Linked DNA regions of Cricetulus griseus. The protein of the gene in region 1 purifies or fractionates together with the protein of each later gene. This does not show direct contact. Links are inferred from orthologs where the notes say so. Each region holds a gene or a part of one and is shown in the gene's direction. Other genes may lie near its edges.

Evidence for each region.
Region 2: the proteins of Nup133 (region 1) and Nup98 purify together in Homo sapiens (affinity purification with mass spectrometry; 6 studies listed by BioGRID and IntAct, with this or other methods). This does not show direct contact. The link is inferred for Cricetulus griseus from reciprocal best matches to the Homo sapiens genes NUP133 and NUP98.
Region 3: the proteins of Nup133 (region 1) and Ahctf1 purify together in Homo sapiens (affinity purification with western blotting; 3 studies listed by BioGRID, with this or other methods). This does not show direct contact. The link is inferred for Cricetulus griseus from reciprocal best matches to the Homo sapiens genes NUP133 and AHCTF1.

The regions. Positions count from the first base shown.
Region 1 is NC_048596.1:200,581,446-200,583,772, reverse strand, and holds the end of Nup133 (nuclear pore complex protein Nup133), read left to right. Parts: intron 1-919; coding exon 920-1,056; 3' UTR 1,057-1,749; downstream 1,750-2,327. UniProt on the Homo sapiens protein: Involved in poly(A)+ RNA transport. Involved in nephrogenesis.
Region 2 is NC_048596.1:97,176,058-97,180,190, forward strand, and holds the start of Nup98 (nuclear pore complex protein Nup98-Nup96), read left to right. Parts: upstream 1-1,322; 5' UTR 1,323-1,461; intron 1,462-1,552; exon of another isoform or gene 1,553-1,699; intron 1,700-4,133. UniProt on the Homo sapiens protein: Plays a role in the nuclear pore complex (NPC) assembly and/or maintenance. NUP98 and NUP96 are involved in the bidirectional transport across the NPC. May anchor NUP153 and TPR to the NPC.
Region 3 is NC_048598.1:14,465,722-14,468,947, forward strand, and holds the end of Ahctf1 (protein ELYS), read left to right. Parts: intron 1-843; coding exon 844-920; intron 921-2,199; coding exon 2,200-2,395; 3' UTR 2,396-2,646; downstream 2,647-3,226. UniProt on the Homo sapiens protein: Required for the assembly of a functional nuclear pore complex (NPC) on the surface of chromosomes as nuclei form at the end of mitosis. May initiate NPC assembly by binding to chromatin and recruiting the Nup107-160 subcomplex of the NPC.

The DNA.
Region 1 (2,327 bases):
CAGTAGACCCTTGTTTTTTGATGGTGCAGAATTATTCAATTTATCATTATAAAAAATTCAAAAAGATGGTGCTGGATGCTTCAAGAATATTTTTACTGGACAAGTACTCCCCCCCCAGGATTATCTTCCTTAAAACCAGACAATCTGATATTCATACAACAAATTATATGATCTTATTCATTTAAAAGTTTTCGTTCCATTTTCTTGGTCAAGTGAGGTTAAATGTAATTGCTGTGGCTTCAATAGTCCATTGATTGGTGCTTCCTGGCTTTCCTGACCCCATTATCCTTCTAGTCTCTGACTCAGTTGAAATGCTGCTGTATGTGCGTTTTTATTTCTTTGGGACTGTCTTACTGTGCTGTCCAGACTGGTCTTGGGCTTTCAGGTTCAAGGGATTCCCTCCCTCAGCATCCTGAGCACTGGAAGGACAGCCATCCACATTAAACTGATACCTTTATGGTATTGTGGCCAGCTCTGTGACAGTATTTCTATTATATTATTCCCCAGTTAGGGTAACACAGAAATGACTATTAGTTGAAAACTTCTGCATTGAAAGAATGTCTTTTGATTTTTTTTTTTTCAAGACAGGGTTTCTCTGTGTAGCTTTGGAGCCTATCCTGGCACTCGCTTTGTAGACCAGGCTGGCCTTGAACTCACAGAGATCTGCCTGCCTCTGCCTTCAGAGTGCTGAGTGCTGGAATTAAGTGTAGAAAATGACAATTGCAGACTATTGCAGACCTCACCTGAAGTGGCTGCTTTGACCAGTGAGAGCCTGCAGGTGGCACTGAAGAAGCTGTTGTCAGACCTACGGCACTGTGATTAGGAGGAGGCTCCAGTATGGGGCATGTTAGTGACTGGCGCCAGCCTCTCATTCACTGGGGAATCTCTGAAATCATAAGTGACTGTGTTTTGTTTGCAGGCATCCAGCTCAGCGAATACTTGCCAGAGGTGAAGGACCTACTTCAAGCAGACCAGCTGGGAAGCCTGAAATCCAATCCTTACTTTGAGTTTGTTCTAAAAGCAAATTATGAGTATTATGTTCAGGGACAGATATGACATTTGTAGAAATTGTTGCTTCTAAAATTTTATAAATATTTGCTTATAAAAATTTTGATGCCAAAAAAGTAAGTTTTAATCAGTTTAAAAGTTTATATAATTTCATCTGTGGCAGCCAGGTATTTTTTCAATGCTTTATTTGGGAGCTATAATATAAAATGGGGCATAACCCTGATTTTCTTTCAGTTGTAAGATATTTTCTTCTCATTTTCTACTTGAAGTCACCCTTGTTTCTGTGTTTCTGCCCTTTCTCCAGTCTCCCTTGGTCCAGTGAGGCATGCAGTTTTTCTCTGGCACTGCCTCCTTGTGCATAGTATGTCTGTTTTGAGGATTGTAAGGTTGAGTCAAGTTTGGTGACATGTACCTGTAATCCCAACACTAGAGCCTGAGACAGGAAGATACTGAGTTCAAAGCCAGTCTGGACAGCATAGCAAGGTCTGGACTTGAAAACCAAAACAGATTGCCACTCCCTCCCCCTAGTTCGTTATCCAATGTCAACCTTTAAATAATATACATACAAATAATATTTTGTGGACCGAGCAGGTTGTGCTTATATATTTAGGTCAACAACTAAAAGAGGCCATGAATTTGAGTGCAGGGGAGCATGGAGGTGTTGGAGGGGGCATGGGAAAGGAAAAATAATTTAATTATATTTTAATTTCAAAAAATTAAGGAAAACAGTGTTTTTCAAGATTGCTCTAATCTGTCTTTGGAGTCACTGTGACTCTGGATTTGGTACACTAAAGATCCTCTGGGATGTTGATCTCTCTTTAGGTCAAAGCCAGAGGGACGTACCTACTTAGCAAACTGAATGTCAGATTTTATTGACTTACTATGTGACTGAGAAACAAATATAGAGGCTCTTAACTCATGAAAGGTGACAGCTGGTAACTCATGGGGAATGTTCCTCACTTTCTACATTGATTAAAACAAACAACAACAAACATGGAGATAGGGTCTTACTATGTAACTGGATGATCTGGAATTCACTATTGTAGACAGGTTAACCTCAGACTCATATCCACCTGCCTCCTAAGTCCTGGAGTTAAAGGACACCACACCTATCAATAATGGATGAATCTTAAAAGTGTTTTAGTGAGTAAGATGTTTGTGTGGCTTTCTGAGCTATCAGTAAATTGTCACTGCTACCAAATATGGTGATTACACTGGCTGTAATCTCAGTATTGAGTCAGTGAGCCTGAGTCTATGATTTCCTGATTGTTTCCAGTTTCACCATAGTTGGTCCTTTCACAAACACTGCCCATGGATGT
Region 2 (4,133 bases), about 100 Mb from region 1:
TAGTATGCACGCTTGTTTTCTGAGCACAGTCCTGCTCCTCTGTGAGACCTCAATAACGAGACAGGTCTGATTTCTAGAACATGCCCACTCCTCTGCTCTTAGCTAGATCCCAGGAGGAAACAGACACCAAAAGGATGAAAACGCAACTTTGACCAACACCAGGGGAGGGAGGAGTCTAAGAATAGAAAAATAAGATACAAAGTAACAAGTCCTGATAAGAGGACCGCCCAGGCATCACCCCAACTTGTTGAGGTTAGCAAATGCGTCCTGGAGAAGGCAGTACATTTGCACCCAATCCATCCAGAACAGCACAGGTTCTGAAGCTGCAGCTGAAGCAGAACCCTCATTGGGATCAAGCCTTATAATAGACCATTGCTCAGATCTACCTTAGAGATTCAGAGGAAAGGATGTGAGAAGACTTGCTTGGACCGGCAAGAACAACAGTGGGGACTGAGGGTCTCTGAAGGGCTGCTGATAAGCCACATGGATTGATAGGTATCCCAAAAGGGTTTTCAAGCTCCGAAAGTGCCAGCTGGGTGGCCTGAGAGCCTGCCCATCATTACCCGCAGACTTGAACTAAAGAAGGGTAGAACAGTTACCATGTCATCCTTGGGCCTTCCCTCTGATTGGCCGGAGCTTCCGTAGCCCGAGTCTCCGCGCTCCAAGGAAAGGGGCGGGGTCTCGGCACAACGTCACCGCTTTTTGGTGCTCACTATTCTAGCCACTCCCCAGCCCTCTTCGAGGGGCCGTGTGTGACGTCGCGAGTCTCTATCAGCCAACCGTCGCGGCAAAAGGGGTGGGACTCCAGGTCCCTCCCCACCATCCCTCTTTTTTTTTTTTTTTCTCCCCACCCAATTCCTCACGCCCCTCCTCTTCCCCTCTACTCCTTCTCAGAGACCGCCTTCACGTTCGGTTTCAAAAGGCTCGTCGCCCAATGAGTAACACGGTAGGCCTCGAGTGGCGGAACGGCCTGCCAATGCCCGGCTGGCGAGGGCGGAACGCCCGGGGCTGGCCTCTGACGGCGGACGGCGTGTGACGCAGTCGGGCCTCTGCGCGCTGCGCCCGAAGCGGCGGTCGGTGGCGGCGGCGGCCTCGGCGGCGGCGACGGTTTCCTGGTGGCCGCGCGCTGCTCTGTGAGCGGCGGGTGGCAGACGGACCTGGGCCCTCACCCCAGACGCACCGCGGTAAGTCGGGAGTGCTGCTGGGGCCGGGCGGGCGGGTCCTCTTCTTTGGACCGGCATCTGCGCGGGACGCCCCGGGCCCTCAGCCTCCCAGTCTCGTGCGGGGCGCGCTCCTTCGGGCCTGCGTGAGGGGGCGGGGCCCGCGGCCCTGCGGCTTGGCTCGGGAGGCCCTGGGAGGGAGTCCACACGCGTGGGGCGTAGGCCAGGGGGCCTCGGGTGGCAGCCCACGCTGAGGGAACCTCGTTGTCTCCGGTGCTACTCATTCATTCGCTGGGTAGAGGTGAGCAGCCCGCGGTAGGCTGGCCCTTGCGGGGATGGTGCCTTGGGGACTCAGTGAGGTCCCCCCCCCCATCACTTCTTTGACCACTCTACAGTACGCGTCTTGTCTAGGGTTAACCAGAGGGTTGAGTGAGTCGGAAGTGCGTTAGCTTTTTAAGACATTGTCTGGCGATTGGAGGGGTCTGGTCAACCGAATGAAAGGTTCTTTTCTGTTCTGCCGCATGTTCGTGTAAACCGAGGTGAGAAAGATTGGATTCTTGAATTACTGTAGCCATAGCGTTTAAGACATTCTATGTCAATGCCCCCATTCTGCATCACGTGCAGAGGTTTTGTAAGGTGGGAGAGGACTCAGTAATGGCAGATGTCTTGACTCAAGCCTAGAATTTTTATACTATTCCACCCTCCCTGTATGTTCCAGTCTCTCATTATTGGCTGTTCTGTATTTGGTAGGGGGAAGGAAACGGACATTTGACATAGTGTTCAAAACATTTCCATTTAGGTGCTACCATTTTTGCTTATATAGTAAGATAATAGAACTTTATTAGTATTACCTCGATGTAAACTTTTGGGGAGCTCGGGGAGACAAGATCTCATTCAAATCCTGGTTGATCTGGAATTCACTATGTAGGTTTGCCACGAAACCAAAGAAACCACTTGCCTCTACCTCCTCGGTGCTGGGATTAAAGGTCTTTGCCATTACAACCAGCCCTAACCTAGACTTTTGAGAACTAAACTTTAAAAATAGTTCAAGAGGCAGGCTTAGTGATGCACGCCTTTCATCCCAATACTTGAGAGGCAAAGGCAGGCGGCTCTCTCTGAGTTCAAGGCTAGCCTACTCTACATACTGAGTTCCAGGACAGCCAGAGCTGCACATAGAGACACTGCCCAAAAAAACCCAGGCGTTGGGGGTGAGTAAACCCAATATAGGGGCTGCTGGAGAGACCCCTCAGCAGTTATGAACACTGACTGCTCTTCCAGAGGAGCTGTGTCAATTCCCAGCACCCACATGGCAGCTGTCTGTGACTCCCAAGTTCTGACACCCTCACATAGACATAGATGAAGGCAAAACATCAATTCATATAAAACAAAAATAATTTTTTTTTTTTTTTTTTTTGGTTTTTCGAGACACGGTTTCTCTGTATAGCTTTGGAGCCTATCCTGGCACGCTCTGGAGACCAGGCTGGCCTCAAATTCACAGAGATCTGCCTGCCTCTGCCTCCCAAGTGCTGGAATTAAAGGTGTGCGCCACCAACGCCCAGCTTAAATTATTTTTAAAAAGTCAATATAGATGTGGTGTTGCAAGCCTGTAGTGTCACCAGTAATGGAAGTTGAGGGTGGAGAACTAGAGCCCAGGAGTTTGAAGCCAGCCTGGACAACATAGAAGATCCATCTCATTTAAGAATTGTGGAGGGCAGCCAGGCGTTGGTGGCTCACGCCTTTAATCCCAGCACTCGGGAGGCTAGAGGCAGGCAGATCTCTGTGAGTTCAAGGCCAAGCCTGGTCTACAAAGCTACACAGAGAAACCCCACCTCGAAAAACAAAACAACAACAAAAAGGATTTCACGAAATTAGTTGTCAGTTTGATTTGAACATACTTATCAGCTTGTAGATTTGATGTTTATATAAACAGTAAAACCTAAAAGCAAGTAATTCAAGAGAACAGAGGAGTTCTGTGGTATAAATATTAAAAGTTGTGACCTGGTGTTTTTTTGTACTATTTTATCTGTTTGGACATCACAACCTGGGAAACTTTTCCTGGTATGCTTTCCTATGTAAGCTTTCACACACTTCCTTACTGATACTTCTGCTTGTAGCACACATTTTATATTTCAAGTGTTTGTCTTTTTATTAGGTTATGATAAAATTTATATTTTTTGGTCTTTCTGAATGTCCTTAAACCCAGCACTTCATGCTGGACGGTAGTGGCGCACGCCTTTAATACCAGCACTCGGGAGGCAGAGGCAGGCTGTCTCTGTGAGTTCGAGACCAGCCTGCTCTACAAGAGCGAGCTCCAGGACAGCCTCCAAAGCCACAGAGAAACCCTGTCTCAAAAACAAACAAACAAATAAAACCCCATCACTTCAGAGGCAGAGGTATGTGGCTCTCTGGCTTTTTGTTCAGTCTGGTTTGTAAAGCAAGTTCCAGGCCAGTCAGGACTACAATATGAGACTCTGCCTCAAACATAAAATAACATGTATATTAATTTGTATTTAGGTTACATGGCTCATCGGCCTCAGTTATATTTTTGTGAATGAATAAATACAGAAAAATTAAACTGAAAAATATTCCAGAAAAAAGGCTAGATATTTGTGTACTTCTGAAATACTTTTTTTTTTTCTTTCTTTCTTTTTTTTTTGTAGCCACTAGCTCCTAGGTATCTAAGAATAACTAAACTTTTACAGCACGCACCAAATTCACAGATTAGGAAAGTAAGTTATTTATTGTCATATTACTGTGTACTAGCAGTCTAGGACATAGAGTATTGTAATATTGATTAATTTCTAGTAAGAGACTTTGTAAAATTCTGAGATTATTATAATCTGTAAATCAATGAGTATGGTGGCATGTGCTTTTAATCTCAGCACTGGGGAGGCAGAGGCAGGTGGATCTCTGAGTTTGAGGCAAGCCTGATTTACAAAATGAGTTCCAGGACAGCCAGAGTTGTTACACAGA
Region 3 (3,226 bases), on another chromosome or scaffold:
CAGAACACATAATAAATCAATCTTTAAAATGCATTTTAATTGACAGAAATGAGTAATTAGTTTGAATAAAGTCTTTCAGCCCCGAACCTCTGTATATATAGGGATAGGGGTGAACTTTCTGTCAGAAAAGCAACAGCTTCAGGAATTCATAAGCATGGCAGGGCAGTGCTACCGAGTAGACGTGTAGGTTTCAGATAGTTTCTGTGGAAAGTATTCTGGGAAGGAGGAAACCCATCTCTGGTGACCCGGTGCCTTCAAGATGACGAGAACCTGGACTTACATGCAGCTCAAATTGTGTTAACTCAGGGCAGTGGACACTGGAAGCACAAGACTTGGAGAATGGGCACCTTGTGGAAGTCGGGAAAAGAACAGTTCTTTTCTAGATTATCACATTTTCTACTAAAGAGCTAGAGGGGCCTGTCTAGGACCTGGGGTTTTTAGTGATGTTTGACTCCTTAACTGAGCAGGATACTTTTTTGGGGGCGGTTTTGAGACAGGGTTTCTCTGCAGCCCTGGCTGTCCTTGAACTCACTCTGTAGACCAGGCTGGCCTCAAACTAAGTGATTCGTCTGCCTCTGCCTCCCAAGAGCTGGGATTAAAGGCGTGGGACACCACTATCCAGCCCAGCAGGATACTTTTAAAATCAGACTTTAGGTGGTGTACATCTTTAATCCTGGCACTTGGGAGACAGACATCTCTGAGTTTGAGGCCAGCCTGGTCTACAGAGCAAGTTCCAAGACAGCCAGAGAAGGAGAAGCCAACAGAGAAATTCTGTCTTAAAATCAAAAACAGAAAATTTTTAATTGCTTAGGCAATTTATATTTTCTAATTTTTAATCCGTAGGAGAGTGACCCTAAACCACTAGAAATCATAGAAGAACAGAAAACAAGAAGCAGGACTGTGAAGACAAAAGCAAGCAGGTAAGCCTTTATCTGGAGCCCCTAGGAAAGGGGGCTTCTCAGACGTGCCTAGCACTGGCTCCTTACATTGGTAGACAGCCCAGTGTTGACAGTAACTAGCATTCTCCACAGAGTGGAGACGGGTAGCCTAAGTAGTTCATTGTCCACTGTGTGGGACTGGGAGAGAAGATAGTTTGTTGTTTCATTAGTGGCAATATCACTGTATCTGCGGTAAAATTAGTCCATTTGAGATAGTTTTGTTTCACAGTATTCTGTTCATGCTGTACTTAGGCATGGCTATTTTTAGTAAACATACAAATTAATAAACACGATGCAGTTGACTAATGACACTACTCATACGTAAATTGTCAATGTGTTTATGATATACATACTTACCAGTTGCTACTCTTTTTGAGTATTACCCCCCCCCTTTTGTGGCACACCTAAAGCTGAACCCTGAATTGCCTCCCCCCTTTTTTTTTTTTATTCTTAGAGTAGGTCTTTAGAACATGTAGTCTTTGCTATACTGGAACTTGCTAAGTAAACCAGGCCAACCTCAAACTCAACAGCTATCCTCCTGCCTCTCTTAACTGAGTACTGGAATTTTCTTAGCCATCACACCTAACATCGGAATTGGAACTTTTTTGTTTTGTTTTGTTGAGACAGGGTTTCTCTGTGTGGCTTTGGAGGCTGCCCTGTCACTCAGCTCTAGACCAGGCTGGTCTCAAACTCCACCTGCCTCTGCCTCCTTTTGAGACACACACACAACACACACACACACACACACACACACACACCACACACACACACACACACACACACACACACACACACACACAGGTCTCAAACTCCACCTGCCTCTGCCTCCTTTTGAGACACACACACACACACACACACACACACACACACACACACAACACACACACGTCTCAAACTCCACCTGCCTCTGCCTCCTTTTGAGACACACACACACACACACACACACACACACACACACACAGGTCTCAAACTCCACCTGCCTCTGCCTCCTTTTGAGACACACACACACACACACACACACACACACACCCAGTGCTGGGATTAGAGGCATGTGCCATAGGTATTTGGGCCATGCTTGTAACGCAGCAGTGTTCATGCGTCTATGTAGCTAAGTATGTCAGCGCACATGGGCATGGGTGGGGGCTGGCACTTTAACCCTGCCTGCCACTGGCCCACAGCTGTACTTTGGCTGCCTTCGCCTGTCTGCAGAAGGAAGCACTTGACACTGTGCTGCTCCTACTTGAGTGTATCTCTCTTTCAGAAACACAGGAAAAGGAAGTTCTTGGTCACCTCCTCCTGTAGAAATTAAGCTGATTTCTCCCTTGGCAAGCCCAGTTGATGCAGTAAAGGTCAACAAACCAAGAAAAACTACAGAAGCAGCAGGAAAAACTCTTGGAAGAGGCAAAAAGAAGCTGTCTTCCTTTCCAAAGCAAATTTTACGCAGGAAAATGCTGTAATTTTTAGCCCAAGATTTTAACATGTACCGTTTGTAAAGTCATCAGTATTTGTGTGAATTATTAAAAGTCACCTGATTTGAAAGGAAATAATTTATATAAATTGTACAATTTTGTAAACAAGTAAATAAGTAAAGTAACTCCATATGGAGTGGGGTTCTTCTAGTTCAGGCGTTTTATAAAACTTCATACGTTTATATAATATGTAAATATGGCTTATTATTAGGATGTTAAATAAACTACTGTAAAGTATATACTGTGTGTCTGTTAGATTTTTGAGGGGATTTCTGTCTTAGTCGTGATTTTATATGCTACTAGACATTTGTCCATTTTCTTTCTCATTGATACTAGAGTCAGTCTTACAATGAGGGTGGGAGACTGATTCTTTTTTAAAGTTGCTGTTTTATAATTTATGCACTTTGAGTGTTACTCAGATTTCTAATCATTACATGTACTTTCCTTGGACTTTGCCTGATAGTGTGTTGAATTTGGATTGTGGGCATGTGATTGCCTTTTTGTAGTTTTACAAATTTTGTATAATCTACCTCAAAAGAGTAATTTTCCAGTACTGCTTTGGTTAACTATAATGCTGGCATTTCTTGTTCAGTAACTTAAAGACTATCTTGTCTCTCAGTTCAGAGACTAATTATCCAGGTTAGATTGACCGGTTCACTGCTTCTTAGCAACCTCATGGAAGGATTTGAGAAGGAGATGTGAATAAATCTGCTCCAGATAACTCAGTACACCTGGTGTGTGCCTGATGTTGAGAAGAGGGGTCCGGACCAATATTAGACTGACTACCCATGCTGCGAAAGCTACTGAATCACAGAAGCC